3 linked regions of the Saccharomyces cerevisiae S288C genome follow. Changing the gene in region 3 together with the main gene of any one other region gives a genetic interaction. Each region holds a gene or a part of one and is shown on either strand. Other genes may lie near its edges.

Region 1 (4,130 bases), on a different chromosome or scaffold from region 3:
TTGAAGCTTGTATCATATCTTTATTGTTGCTGTCATCATTCCTTTCACTTTCTACGTCAGTTGAAATCTCACTCTCTTTATCAGTAGAACTTTGTCCGTCATCAGCGTTATCTGATATAACGATAATGGATGGTTGAAATTTAATCAAATCATCTTTTTGAAACGCAAATTTATCATTCTGGACCCACTTTGTGATGCAACTGGTTTTCACACATTGAATGCCTGACTGTTCAATCTTACCAAGAAATTCATCGACATCATTTAAGCCTGCTTCCCTTTGGAAAATATCTTTCTGAGTCAAATGCATATCAGAATCAACAAAGGAGTCCTCAATCAAAATGACCACTTCCTTACGGCTAGATTGAAGACAATTTTGAATACTTGACACAATTGTGGCGCCCTTTTTCTCCAATATACTCTTAAAGAACTTATTGGAAGATGTGTTAGGATTAGGTAAAAAGGCGAAAAATTTACCCTTTAGAGACATGTGCGATTTGTCTAACAGGTCGCATGTTTATCCTTTACTTATTATCACTGTGACATATAAGTTCTTTGCAAGCCCTTAAAATTATTAGCCCCATGTATTTGAACATCTCAAAGTAATTTTAGACCGAGACCGATTACGGAGATAGAAGAATAGTGCAAGTGAAATACTATTTTATCTTTACTTAAAAAAGAAAAAACAGGAGGAAAATTAGCGGTATTCCATTATTATTAGCACTGCAACGTCCTGGTTATATAAATTTGAATATACAGGATTTCATCCGTTTCTACATTTTTGTTACCTGCATGATCAAATCTTTTAAAGAGTCCCAGGATTTCACAAGGTAGGCACCTTTACCGCCTTCCTTTTCACAAAACTGTAACCACGCTGGACCATTATCAGCTTCAAAACTCGAGATTTTATCCTTTGGGATACCAATAATCTTTTCGGTAATTTTTATGAATTTGGAAGGATTTTCTTGCGGGTTTATTAGCAGTACACCATTAGTAGATGGATGTAATATGGACAACAAGTCAGTCTCACTATCCCCTATATACCAATAGCTGCAAGAATTTCCTTCTTTATTGCAACCTGAGTCGATCTTATCTAATATTTCACCCAGTATCTTGACCTTATCAGAGCCTGTCAATAACCGACAATCAAATTCACCATTGTAGCTTTGAGAACACTTGTCACTAACTTTTTTTAGATCGTTACAAAAAATATGACTATTTTTAAGTCTTCTGTCACCAATGACTTCATGAATAAACTCTTTTGACCAATTTATAGATAAAACGTAAAAATCACTTTCAAAATTTTTGACAACTGAAGAGCAAAACGTTTTGAAACCATCTCTTAGTAAACAATCTTCGTGATTCTGATCTCTGGCGAACGTTTTCATTTGATCCAAAGAAATCGACTTAAAAATCTGTTGTTTTGTAATTTCATTTACACTATTTAACTCAACAACCCTGTTATGATTTTGATATTTTAATTCGTCCGCAAACAACTTATTGAAGTTAGACTGCGAAATTATCGTAGGTACGCCTGAAGATAACAACGGCAGTGATCTCGTTCCATTGTATTTGTATTTATGGTATCCGTCCATATATGTCTTGGTAAAATGACCCCACTCAGGTTTCAACCGCGGGTTCAGTAGATACGGTAATTTAGCAATGGTGCAGATTGTGTCAACTCTTGTGATTGTTTCATCAAAATCTGAAATAATAATGGTTTTCATATCCTCCACTGTTCGCTTCTGGTTACTGCAATTGTTAAATGCATTGGCTCGATTGTCAACATTGCTTTGTGCGAAGAAAGGTCGCTTTTAAAGAAAACGATAAGAACTAACCTCTAACTACATAATAATAAGAAAAAAGTATACAGATAAACAAGCTCAGTAGTAATACATAAAATAAAAAGTTTTGCAAATCGATTGTCCACACACTTCTATATCAATTCCAACTAAGAAAACGAAGGAACCGACTCAAACCGGTGTAAAAGCTAGGCTTTCAATCTCTGCTCCTCCAAACAAAACTAGTGCTTGATATCACATCCAATTAAATTACGTAAATAATTTTAGAGTGACACCATCGTACAAAGAGGGCATTAAGCTTATTTTTTTAATTCTTATGAAAAAAAAAATGTGAAAGAGAGTAGAAAATTTTCATAACGAATCTCTTCTATTCTTATGTACCGTTCCGCCAAATTTTTCATGAAAAAATTTGGGAAAAAGAAAAAAAAAAAAAATAGTATATAAAGTAAAAAAGATGCGCAAGCCCGGAATCGAACCGGGGGCCCAACGATGGCAACGTTGGATTTTACCACTAAACCACTTGCGCTAGTAATCTTGATACATGATTCGAGAAAAGCAACAATATTATGTATACGGAATATACTAGGAGTTCTCTTCAAGGATAGAGGAATCCTCAAAATGGAATCCATATTTCTACATACTAATATTACGATTATCCCTTCTTCTATTTTATATGTTTCATTATCCTATTACATTATCAATCCTTGCACTTCAGCTTCCTCTAACTTCGATGACAGCTTCTCATAACTTATGTCATCATCTTAACACCGTATATGATAATATATTGATAATATAACTATTAGTTGATAGACGATAGTGGATTTCTATTCCAACAAGAACATCCTTGAAAGGTCGACTATTAACATAAGAATAAGAGAGAGTGTGTGGCCGATGCTGTTGCTATAGCTCGGTCGTAGTTTAACACCACGGCATTATTCAGCTTTAAAACAATTGAATTATAAACCTGCTTTTCTTACTACGAAAAGTGTTTCCCTTTAATAAATCTATTGTACATACTTTACAGTTGATAGTACCTTCACCATAAAAATATGCAAACGCTTTTGTTATTGGGAACAGGAATACCAACCGTTCTCATGGAAAATAGCAAAGTGTAAAAGAATTTATTATCATCGAGTGATAAAGAATATCGCCAGATCTTTACGGATATATATCGCTAAAAATATTTGTCGCCAATAAAAGATATGTCTAACGCTCCCTTTGCAGGTAGTTTTTTACTGGCATCGCCTTTTTACTGCAAATTATTGAAAATTTTCGAGCGAGAAAAAGGAACGAAAAGAGATGAGCTAAATTCAAATATCAAAGTACTGTCATAAGTGCTTTCTTTATCGACAAATTACAAGCAGAAGAAACATTCACTTCACAATTAAATGTCCGAAAATCACGTTCCTGCCTGGAAAAGAATTGCTTTGAAGAGACAGACTATAAGCAGTGGTGACGAAAGTAAAGAAAAAGGCCAATCCAATCTAATAGATGATGATCCACTAAATATCACTACGCATTTATCCACTGGTAATTTGACAAAGAAAGAGAAAAAAAGAATCATTAATGGTGAGAGCAAATCCTCTACCAAAAAAGGGAAGCGTGTGTCGAAACCAGGGACGAAGAAGAAGGAAAAATTGTCAAAGGATGAAAAGAATTCGAAAAAAAATAAAATTCTTAAAGATCAATTACGTTACCTGATAGAATTTTTCAGGACAAAGTCTGAGAGCAAGTTTCCCACCGGAATCCTAGAATTGGAAAGTGTAAAAGAAAATTACGGCGACTCCCTGATCAAAGACGAGCCATCAGAGTCTGGTGTTGTTGAAGTTTGGAAATTTTCCAAGCAAAAGCAAAATTGGCTTATTAAGCATTTTTTCAACTTGGACGAAATCCCCTCAGTATATAATGATCTTTTGCTTTTATATTTCAGGGACTTACAAGGTAAATCAAAAGAAGAACTAATATCAAAATGCAAAGGAAAACTGAAGCAATGGAACGACTATGTGGAAGATCAAGAAACAAAAATAAAAGCGTTAATTGCAGAGGATAAGGCTAGCGAACCAATTAATGGTGAAGAAAAAGAAGAAGGTGAAAAAGACGGTAATGCCGAACAAGGGAAGCAAAAAGAGGTACAAGACGAGCAAGAGGAAGTACAAATGCCGAATAAAGAGCTTGTTCAAAGAAGTCTGAAATTACTAGAAATTTGGAAGAATGATGACTCGGAGCAGATAGAACTTAAGAATTTCTTCGTTGATGTTTAACATAGAGTTCAACAACGTTGTTCAGTTGTAGTATATATTTTACTGTGAAATACGCTCAAAAAGTAGCGGG
Region 2 (5,501 bases), on a different chromosome or scaffold from region 3:
AAGTGAAGGTGCTATCAATAGAAGCACCGATTGAGCAATGAAAGTCGAAATCGAGGGGCTATTGATAAAGACTATTTTCAACACATAACCCACGAACTCTAAACAAATCCCTAAAACGAAAGGAAAATGTGTCCACATCAAACCGCGGGCAGGAAAGTATATTATTGTGGAATTTTCCTCTGACAACTCATTGTTTTCCCAGCGATGAATACGTCTCTTGCTCGTGTGTGTTGCCATTATGATCTGCACCAAGGCAGAAAGGATTAAAATGCCAAACAGAACGACAAATGCAATCGCTGCACCTTTGTGAGGATTGTATGCATAAAAACCTTCATAATCAGTGATTGCTTTAGTAAAAAAATTCCTATTGAGGCAGTTGAGTTCTTTTATCGACAATAAGTCTCTAGTACAGTAGTGAGAGTGTCATGTATTCAGTACCAAGAAGAACTTATATGCCTTTTATAATTCATCTTATAAGTTGCTAGACATACAAATAATCAATATGGAAATGTGCTTATTCCCGCTAATATCCATTAATATCCGCTGTCATTTTTCGCAACTATCACCAAGTGGAGAGAGGCTTGACAACCACCAGAAAAAAACTAAATCAGCCTGCGGAACTTTTCTCGGAAAAAATCAGTTAGAAAAGATCGTACATAGGGCCCTTTTTTGACAGTAAGATTAAAGAGCAAAACGGGACATTATAGATATGCCACCATCAAATACGTGAATTTTCCAAGCCTCATAAACTAATAGCCAACTTGCAACTCTTATAATGCAAAACTTTCTCCGTGAAAGTGTAAACCACCATCTGTCGCCCATCTTTTGGTGCTTTCAATTAAGCCTCTAGGGCCTGCAGCGAGAACCCATACTTGTGACAAATATTCAGCATGGTCTCTGCCTTGATTCGCCCACCTGCAACATTGAATAGAATCCGTCTCTGCATCACATTCGGTTTGCAGACACCATTCATAATCCTTATCTCCAAGTGTAGGCCTGCCAAAGAACACTTTAACACCTGCGGGAATTCTGATCTTTTTAGGCGCCGCCTCTAAACAAGGATCTTGGGCAGGTGGCTCAATGATCTTTGGTTGTCTGAAAACGCTCGATCCGTTAAACGAAGAATGTGTAGTTAGAGTTCCTTGTGCAGTATTTTTCCTTGATTTGGATCTGCTAAAAGCATATGTAAAATCTATCTCGTCATCAGCATTGATGTCAGGTATATCACTTGTTTTTGGTGGGTGATGGTTTCTCAAGGTAGATTTCTTACTTAGAAGGGCTGTGTTCTCATTGGGCTCCGTAGGTTGGGGATTTCCATCTGATAACATGGAATTATCTCCCAGTTCTGAAACTCGGCCGCTCGAAGAAATACTCCTGACTTCATCATTAATATCAGCAGCGCAGTCATGATAGTCAATATAATCAATTTCTATGTCCTGTTCGTTGCCTTCGGTGCCACTAATATATATCTCCATACCTTCAAAATTGTTTTTGAAGTGGTTCAATACTTCCAGATCCTTATAATCTCTAGAAACCCAAAGGAGCCTAACGTTTACACCGTTGAAGTTTAGAATACGAAGTAGTGGTAAGCCAAAGGAAATTCCTGAACCTCCAACACACATAAACACTCTTTGCGCTTTAATTAGAAAATTTAAAGGCGAATTTATTAGTGCAGAAGAATTGTTTCGAAATGGATTCTTGGAAGATTTCGTGGTAATATTAAAAGGAACAGTAGGTTTAGAAATGAAACTCAACTCAGGTTCAAAAGCCCCTGTAATGTAATACTTTTCATTTGTACGCAATGGAAAATGCCCGTTTCTAATAATTAACCTGACCAAATTATCACTTGGAATACTAGCAATAGTAAAAGGATGTTGGAAGGGTATCAAATGGGAGAAAAACCTCCTTAAAAAATTTCTATGGTAAATGTTGATCCTTAGATGCCCTCCTGGTAGGATGGGCTTTTTGGGTAAATCGGTTAATGGGAACTCCAAAAGAGACAATGATGAAGAAATGGGTACTATCGTAACTCTCGTAACATTGGTGATATGGAGCCTATAGACGATTTGTCCCGTTAATATGAGCACATTTAAAGTGGTATAATATGAAATTCCTGGGCGAGCGTGATAATGTAGAAACACCAAAATAAGCCATGTGCTTACATAGTGAACATAGTAAAAAACTCTGTAGCTCCATCGTCTGGCATATCTCACAGAGGTGATGGCAATCAGTAGGAAAAGGCCGAGGGCAATAACCCCATAAATGTTGGGTAGTTTTCTCATTTTCACGTATAACGTATCATTAATGTACATGTAATAGAGATAGAACCACGTGTGTAGAATAGATTCAAGCACAACAATTCTGGAAATCCATTTGTGGAGAGGTAACAATGCTAAGTATAACGTGTGAGGTAACGGTGATGGCCTCAACGTTAGAAATAGTAAAGGTGGCATCAAAGCAACGGAAATTCTCCCCATTCGCTTAGTAATTTCTAACAGATCTCCGTTAGCGCCTTGTATAACAAAAAACGAGGTGAAAACAAAGCATATTAAACATAGTTGTAGTGACTGTTTGTGATACATATGTGTTTTGTGAACCCATGATCTTCTGTTGAAAACATGATGCTTTAAATGGTGACATATTTTGAAGAATTTGTCAGTTAGCAACAAATAATTCATTAAGGGTATAATAACACATATTATAATGAAAGAAATTAAAAGACATATCTGAGAATATTTGCGGACTCTTAAAGTTCTAAAATGCTTGTCCACGTCGACATCAAAACTGGGAAGATGTTCCTTGAACCAGCTAACGATGGACTTTAAATTCATGCTGAAAATAACAATAAATAAAATACAGTAAACTTTTTTAGCGGAACTTCTATTGTAATTTAACGATTTAATCTGAAGAGATGTAGATGTAATAAAACTGTTAAAGTGGCAACGTGATAATTAAAAGCTTGGCAAAAATAAGAGATCAACACTAGCTTTTTCTTTTTCCACCTAAATTTGAAGGGAAATAAAAAAGAAATTGAGGCTGTACAGAGTGTTAATCTTCCATAACGGATACCACCAAACGTTTTTACCCTAAACTTAAATTTTATTACTTATTTTACATGCATAATGGCTGCCATGCGTAGTTCATACATGTTATTTGCACCCTTTTTCTTTTTCAATAACAAAAAAGAGCTTGGGCATTACGTTTTCAACACTTTTAATATTTCCCTTTTTACATCCGTACATATAAAATGTAAACCCATGCATTCATGACAATTTTACCTATTTCTTAAAGGCCTTTGTCACTTCTTTATGGGAATGGCGCTACTTTAATTTTCCGCCTACTTTGAAAAATTTACCAAGGCGAAATTGAGTGCGCTAGGCGGAAGTTCCAGGGCACGGTCACCGAACCTTTGTGCTGTTTCGAACGAGGGTCCCGCTGGAGGTTGACGGACGCGGGAGGAGCTGGAAAGATGGAATGGAAGGACTGCAACACTCAGTAAGAAGGTTCGTGGTAGGGAACATCACCTTCTCTAGTTCCTGTAAAAATAATATGATCAAGTTTGAATCCTCGTATTGAAAAATCGCGAGTTATTAAGTGTGTAATTTAGAATACCGAAATAGCACAAGAAGAGATAAGATAAGATACTGATAGGATAATGTCTTTACCAGCTACTTTTGATTTGACTCCAGAGGATGCCCAACTTTTGTTGGCCGCTAACACCCATTTAGGTGCTAGAAACGTTCAAGTATGTACACATATCCCATACGATTATGTTCTATAGATGATAATAGGTCTCGAAAAGAATATGTCCCCGATTTAATCATATTTGGAGGTCAGAGGACCAAAGGTAATTTCAGAGGAATTTTGAACACGCCGGGTTTAGAAGAGTTAGAATTTCACTTCTTAGTGAGGGTAAGGAGAAGAAACTCAATAAGAATATACATCCTCGACTGTGTCAAAGATTATGAACTCCGATGAAACAGTAAAACGTCAAAAAATTCCACGGGATATAATTCGGTACTTTATTGGATATGGAAGAAAACATTATATATGCACAAATGAACGCTCTTACTAACATAATTTATCTTTCCTCTCTTTTTTTAGGTCCACCAAGAACCATACGTTTTCAATGCTAGACCAGATGGTGTTCACGTTATCAATGTTGGTAAGACCTGGGAAAAGTTGGTTTTGGCTGCTAGAATTATTGCTGCCATTCCAAACCCAGAAGATGTTGTTGCCATCTCTTCCAGAACCTACGGTCAAAGAGCTGTCTTGAAATTTGCTGCTCACACTGGTGCTACTCCAATCGCCGGTAGATTCACTCCAGGTTCTTTCACTAATTACATCACCCGTTCTTTCAAGGAACCAAGATTGGTTATTGTTACCGACCCAAGATTAGACGCTCAGGCCATTAAGGAAGCTTCTTACGTTAACATTCCAGTCATTGCTTTGACTGATTTGGACTCCCCATCTGAATTTGTTGATGTCGCCATCCCATGTAACAACAGAGGTAAGCACTCCATCGGTTTAATCTGGTACTTGTTGGCTAGAGAAGTTTTGAGACTAAGAGGTGCTTTGGTCGACAGAACTCAACCATGGTCCATCATGCCAGATTTGTACTTCTACAGAAACCCAGAAGAAGTTGAGCAAGTTGCTGAAGAAGCTGCTGCCGCTGAAGAAGGTGAAGAAGAAGAAGTTAAGGAAGAAGTCACTGAAGGTCAAGCTGAAGCTACTGAATGGGCTGAAGAAAATGCAGACAACGTTGAATGGTAATCATTTGAAAACCTTGCAATGTGTGTGAATATTGTAAGGAATTGAGAAAGAGAGATAAAAAAAGAGACAGAAGTATCACTTCCTTTTCTAATTTTTCTTTTTCATTTTTTTTTTAAATTCATCTATCGTTTATCTTTATCTCATATATATTTGCTTCTCTCTGAAGCGTCATCATCTATCTGTATTTTTAATGCAATCATAGTATAAAAATTTTTAACCAAATTCAAAAATTATAATATTTTAAAAGTTTATGCTTTTGTCCTTTTATATTCAAGTCATTTGGCCATTATTACGCTTTTTTTTTTATTAGGTAAGTGGTTTCAATAATTAAATTCTTTAGCGGGAAGGCTGACTATCTATAGTATTGAAGATAAGTTAAATTAATGTTTAGTTCTGATATTTCATTTTTATTATTAATTAAATTTGCACTATTCGCCATGACGGGTTCACCCGAGTATTTATTTTGCTTTCGTTATACATATATATATATATATATTCTTCCAGGAGAAATACCTGCCTTCTCTCTTACCCCTTGCTCAATCTAAATCAATCCGTGACCTTAAATCTTCTAGCAGAATGACTAAGTCACAATCGATTTTAGAAATTTGAATAACCAGCTCAGAGATATTACTGACAAAAAACTTGTAATGGCACTGTTTTAGCAAGTTTAAGATAAATGTATCCATTAAGAAAGCATTGATTTTATTCGGACCATAATAGGTAGTCAC
Region 3 (4,654 bases):
GATTTTGTCTGTTTACTACCACTTTTAGAGTTATCAAGGACAATTGCTATCATAAATAGAATTGTTAATCAAAATGATCTAAAACACCCCTAACGAAGGGCGGATAATTGAAAATAAAGCCAGAACATACCTTTTTGGTCCATTTCCAATCGTTTGAATATGGTCGTGGAGGTTAATGCTGTTCGTTTAAATCGTTTCAGAATGCAAAATTAACCGCATCAGTTTCTGCATTGTGTGTACATTCGCCTGACATATTTTGCTTTAATTTTCCACGACAAGAAAAAAAGATATACATATACGCGACAATAGCAAAAGTCAGAGTTTAATAAGTTGAATATACAAAATAGAATATATAAATGTTTTCAGAACAAGTATATACGCTTAAATGTCTACAAAATACTTAAAACCATATAAATGAACAATATTTTCTTTTAGTCATTGTAAAAGATTTTTTTTTTTGAGGGAGAGGGAAACAGCGGGAAAAGACAACGCTGCAAGCCTCACATGGCGATACTGCCTCTCTGTCTTCTTGCGGATTGCGGATCCACTTCTTTATTCCCTGTTTGTTTCCTTGCTAATAAGTTGATGATGTCTGTCAATGAGACCACACCGATCAACTTACCCGTTCTATATTCCTTTTCGAATAGGTTTGGTGTGTTTGTTGAGGAAGCGGGACTTGGTGGTGGGATCGCGATGGCCGAAGAACGTGGGGATGGTGGGTCTTCCATTGCTGTCATCAACGGAGAGTGGGAGTTGAGGGATGTTGAAGAGGATGACTTTGACATTGGAGTCGCACCATTAGCAGACGATTGAGCGGTGGCAGAAACTGCATTGGCTGCAGTATTAGCAGCTGTTAAATTTGTGGATGACGCCGAGGTTGACGACTCCGGCGGTTGTACGATCCATAGTCTATGAGACTTTGTAGCAACTAACTTGGCAAGAGTCCTTGCTAGTGAACTACTGGGGTATACGTGAAAAATGGGGAAAGAATCTTTACCCGTTTCTAATCCTCTGGAGTTTAAAATGACAGAAATGAAATGGCGACATGTCTTATGTAGTAAGGGGTATTGGGAGGTTCTTGTGACATGTTTTACGTCCGTTACCGATATGTTACCTAGCAAATTACCTTGTTTGTCGATGACTGCAATGGAAGAAATTCTTTCCACATGCATTTTATAAAGGCCCATGATTAAGGGCTCCTCGCCTTGAATAGAGATGACACGGGATTGTCTTGAAGTTGGCTTAGATTGAATATTGAGAACACCGATGTGCAAATCTTGTAATGAGGAGTTTAATAGAGGTTCTAAGCTTGTAAAAGATCTAGCGTTGTCCCAAAGATACTTTATCAAACGACGTTGGGACAAAATACCTTTAACTTTGGTCATCTCTTCGTTTGTTATCGCTACACGATGGACACCCGAACCGAGAATCCCCATCACCGTGGACAAACTCTCATTCTCCGGCAGCTTATAGAACGGATTCTTAGGAGTTAGTTTCACCATTTCGCCCACTGGTACGGGTTTTCCATTCTGGCAATCTGCAGTAAGCTGTTTGTTGCTGACGGTGATTTTATTCAAAACCAGCAAAAGGTACGAATTAAGGTCATTGTAGTCGAAAGTAAAACAGTTCATGTCGCCGGGGAAAGATTCCACGGGAATAGAGTTTAGATGATACTTGATCAAAGTGTTGAATGCCTCCTCTACCGATATGGAACCTGGAACAAAAATAAGCTTATTCTGTTCGATCAATTGCGACAACGGTATGTGTTGCCATTTTTGGGCGTGCACACATGACAGACACTGCGATGGCGTCTGGGTCATAGGAACAGCTGATAGTTTGAATTGAGGCTTTTCATCGCGCAAGGGGGCGGGTGTAGCAGCACAACCTGGACCAGGCGCTGCCGCTGTTGCTGTTGGCGGCGTGGACTCTTCTGGTTGTTCCTTGTCGTCTGTATCGTTCACTTGAACGTGGGGCAGCAATGGCGGAGTAGACAGCATCTCCACAATGGATGCATGTCTAGAAGTTGGAAGGTTGTTGGAAGAATTGCTTTGGCTTGGAGGGAACGTGTTCGAAGTAGAAGCCATGTTGTGTGAAGGAAGAAACGGTAATTGTTCTATAAGTGTTTATAGTTATTATAGTTGGGTTGTGTGCCTGATCTTGCCTGATAAGATAGAAGAAAAGTTGATCTGAACAGGCATTGTTGTTCGTTCTCCAACCCCTATATATGCGAAATATATACAAAATCCCAGTAGATTTTCTCTACACAATAGAAAGGACGCGCCCCTTAAAAGAGGAGGCCCTGTCGCTCAAGACGAGCAGTACTCGCTAAGCAACCGTTCTCTGGGAGGGAACTGCAAGGAACAGTTCTGTTCTTGAAACATGACCTTGAAAAGATCCAGCAGACGTTTTACGTCGATGTTGTGGCAGTGCTGAATGCCGAAGAGGTCTGTGCAGCGTCTGGCCCAATCCATGCGGTACTTGACATCCTTGTCGTCTGGTGCCAGCAGCCTAATTCCTCTTCTCAGCTCACCTAGTTTGACGACAGCGTCCTCCAGCGCCAGATCCCCCATTTGTGTGAATAAGTTACGGATCTCATCTCTTACTAGAGCGCCAAAGCGCGGAGAAAGGCCGTTGGTAGAGATCAGAATCTGTAGACGGTCTCCTATCTCCAGGTTGGCGCCGAAATAAAAGTCACAGAGATCAGGTTTGTCCGCCACATTGACCAGCTGCTGCTTACCGAATCTTTCCTTACAAAGGTGATATATTCTTGCGCTTTCAGGGTGGTCGGGTATACAGGTCATTATTATGTACCACGCGTCGTTCTCGTCTTCTAGGTCGAGGTATTCGTCTTTGAAGTCACTGCGGATGTACTCGTAAATTTCATTCTTCGTGGGGTCCCAGTTCGGATTGATAAAGCGTTTAGCGTCTTCTCTGTAGTCGGGCTGATCCTCGTTCTGGATGAATTTTCCAAACTTCGGAATAATGGATTTGTGTAGGTCAGGAGATACTAAAGTCAGCTTGCAACCTGTAGGTATCAGCTTATATAACCTTGTCAAGCCGACTTCTCCGCCTCCGATTAGTAGTATTTTCTTGTCTTTTAATTGATGGGCTAGCTGTAGCGATTTGACCATTTTTTATCCTATTATACACTCTCTTATTTTGCACACTTCATGAACAATGTATGGCAAAAATGTCTGGCACAGCCTTTTATTGAAGTAAATGTATATATATATATATGTGTGTGTGTGTGTCCATCATTTACATGCTACTGCCCGTAGTCATCGGACTTTGTAGCGATTTTCACATTTTTTTTCCGTCAGCATGGCTATTATAACACGTGAAATTATGACGCCAGCTTTTCGCATATATAGTTAATATAAAACACTTTGAAACGGAACTGTTTGAGTAAATAAATGTACTTAGATAGATAAAAATAGATAGGTAGTATAGAGGAAAAACAAATTTGATTAGAATTATGGATCGACAATTGACTAGGTTGTAACTGAAATGGCATTAATAGAAGAAACGTAAGAACGTAGAGACGCAGATAAAACTGCGGACAAGATTAAAATTTTCTTTTTTTGTCTTTTGTAATCAATGTAGAAGAGAAGGATGAATTGGCGGAACATTGTTCCTATTAGGATGCTTGTTCATGATGCTCGATTTCGAATTATTGGAATTCGGGGCTATATTTAAGGGAGGAGTCATCATCCTGGACACGTCATACATATTTGCACCGTTTCCCATTCCGTATGGTACTGGATTTACGTTCATGTTCATGTTCATGTTAGAATTCATGATCATGTTTGTGTTAGGGTTTGTGTTCATGCTTGAGGCCGTTTTATTGCTGTTGCCATTGGGCAGTTGCATAGAAATTGACATCGCGTTCCCAAATTGAGGTAAGTTATTAGTAGCATTGGAGAATTGGTTGCCCGTCGGATGGAGCGAGTATGAGGGACTTGAATATTGGTGTGGGTACAGTGCACCGTCTTCTTGCATATACGGGACATTAGATCTCTGCAGATTAACGAGGTCGCTATGGCTGCCATTCTTGTTCCTGTGATAATCGTAATTATTGTAGTTGTAATAGTTGTTGTGCGCCATTTGCTCCATAGAAAAGTTACCATCCTGTTGCTGCTGCTGCTGCTGCTGCTGCTGCTGATGTAAAAAGAGTCGCCTTTTATCTTCCGCATATTGTTCAAGAATTTGTTTGGAGTTATCGACTGAAGAAGCCGCAGATGGCGCTCTCAGGCCATTTGAGGACATATATTGGCTTGCCCCCATGATGGTCGAATTTGTTTTAGCATTTGAACTGGATGGGCGTCCCCATGATAATCTTATTGGACTGCCGCCCACAATAAAGCCTTGCAGGCCTTGTATTGAAGCTTCAGCATCAATCCTCTTCTCGAATTTAACAAACCCACAGTTTTTACCATTGGGAATCCTGACATTTAGAATGGGTCCAAAGGGTTTGAATAGTGAACGTAATTGAAATTCGGTAGTTTTTGGTACCAGTCCTCCCACAAAAACAGTAGTATTAGTGGGGTCTGTATTATAGGTGTTTGAAGGTAGTGAATCATTTACACGCATGTTTGAAATGCCGCCCTCATTCAAATGCATTGGAGGCGCGTTATGCAAGGCATTGAGAGGAAGC

What was found. A genetic interaction does not mean that the proteins touch.
Region 1: mutations in SDS24 (region 3) and CTO1 together harm fitness more than expected from each alone (negative genetic interaction), as found in Saccharomyces cerevisiae (2 studies listed by BioGRID).
Region 2: mutations in SDS24 (region 3) and FRE8 together harm fitness more than expected from each alone (negative genetic interaction), as found in Saccharomyces cerevisiae (2 studies listed by BioGRID).

What each region holds. Positions count from the first base shown.
Region 1 is NC_001135.5:140,447-144,576, forward strand, and holds CTO1 (Cto1p), read right to left. Parts: upstream 1,725-4,130; coding exon 771-1,724; downstream 1-770. Other genes in the region: POL4 (DNA-directed DNA polymerase IV), read right to left, coding at 1-487; RNA-binding ribosome assembly factor RBP95, read left to right, coding at 3,188-4,060. UniProt on the Saccharomyces cerevisiae protein: Protein required for cold tolerance. Plays a role in the regulation of phosphate uptake.
Region 2 is NC_001144.5:238,577-244,077, forward strand, and holds FRE8 (putative ferric-chelate reductase), read right to left. Parts: upstream 2,832-5,501; coding exon 771-2,831; downstream 1-770. Other genes in the region: YLR046C (uncharacterized protein), read right to left, coding at 1-237; 40S ribosomal protein uS2 RPS0B, read left to right, coding at 3,656-3,745, 4,105-4,773; MLO50 (Mlo50p), read right to left, coding at 5,310-5,501.
Region 3 is NC_001134.8:648,845-653,498, reverse strand, and holds SDS24 (Sds24p), read right to left. Parts: upstream 2,085-4,654; coding exon 501-2,084; downstream 1-500. Other genes in the region: HPC2 (Hpc2p), read right to left, coding at 1-46, 131-143; bifunctional precorrin-2 dehydrogenase/sirohydrochlorin ferrochelatase MET8, read right to left, coding at 2,307-3,131; NGR1 (Ngr1p), read right to left, coding at 3,595-4,654. UniProt on the Saccharomyces cerevisiae protein: Involved in DNA replication and cell separation during budding.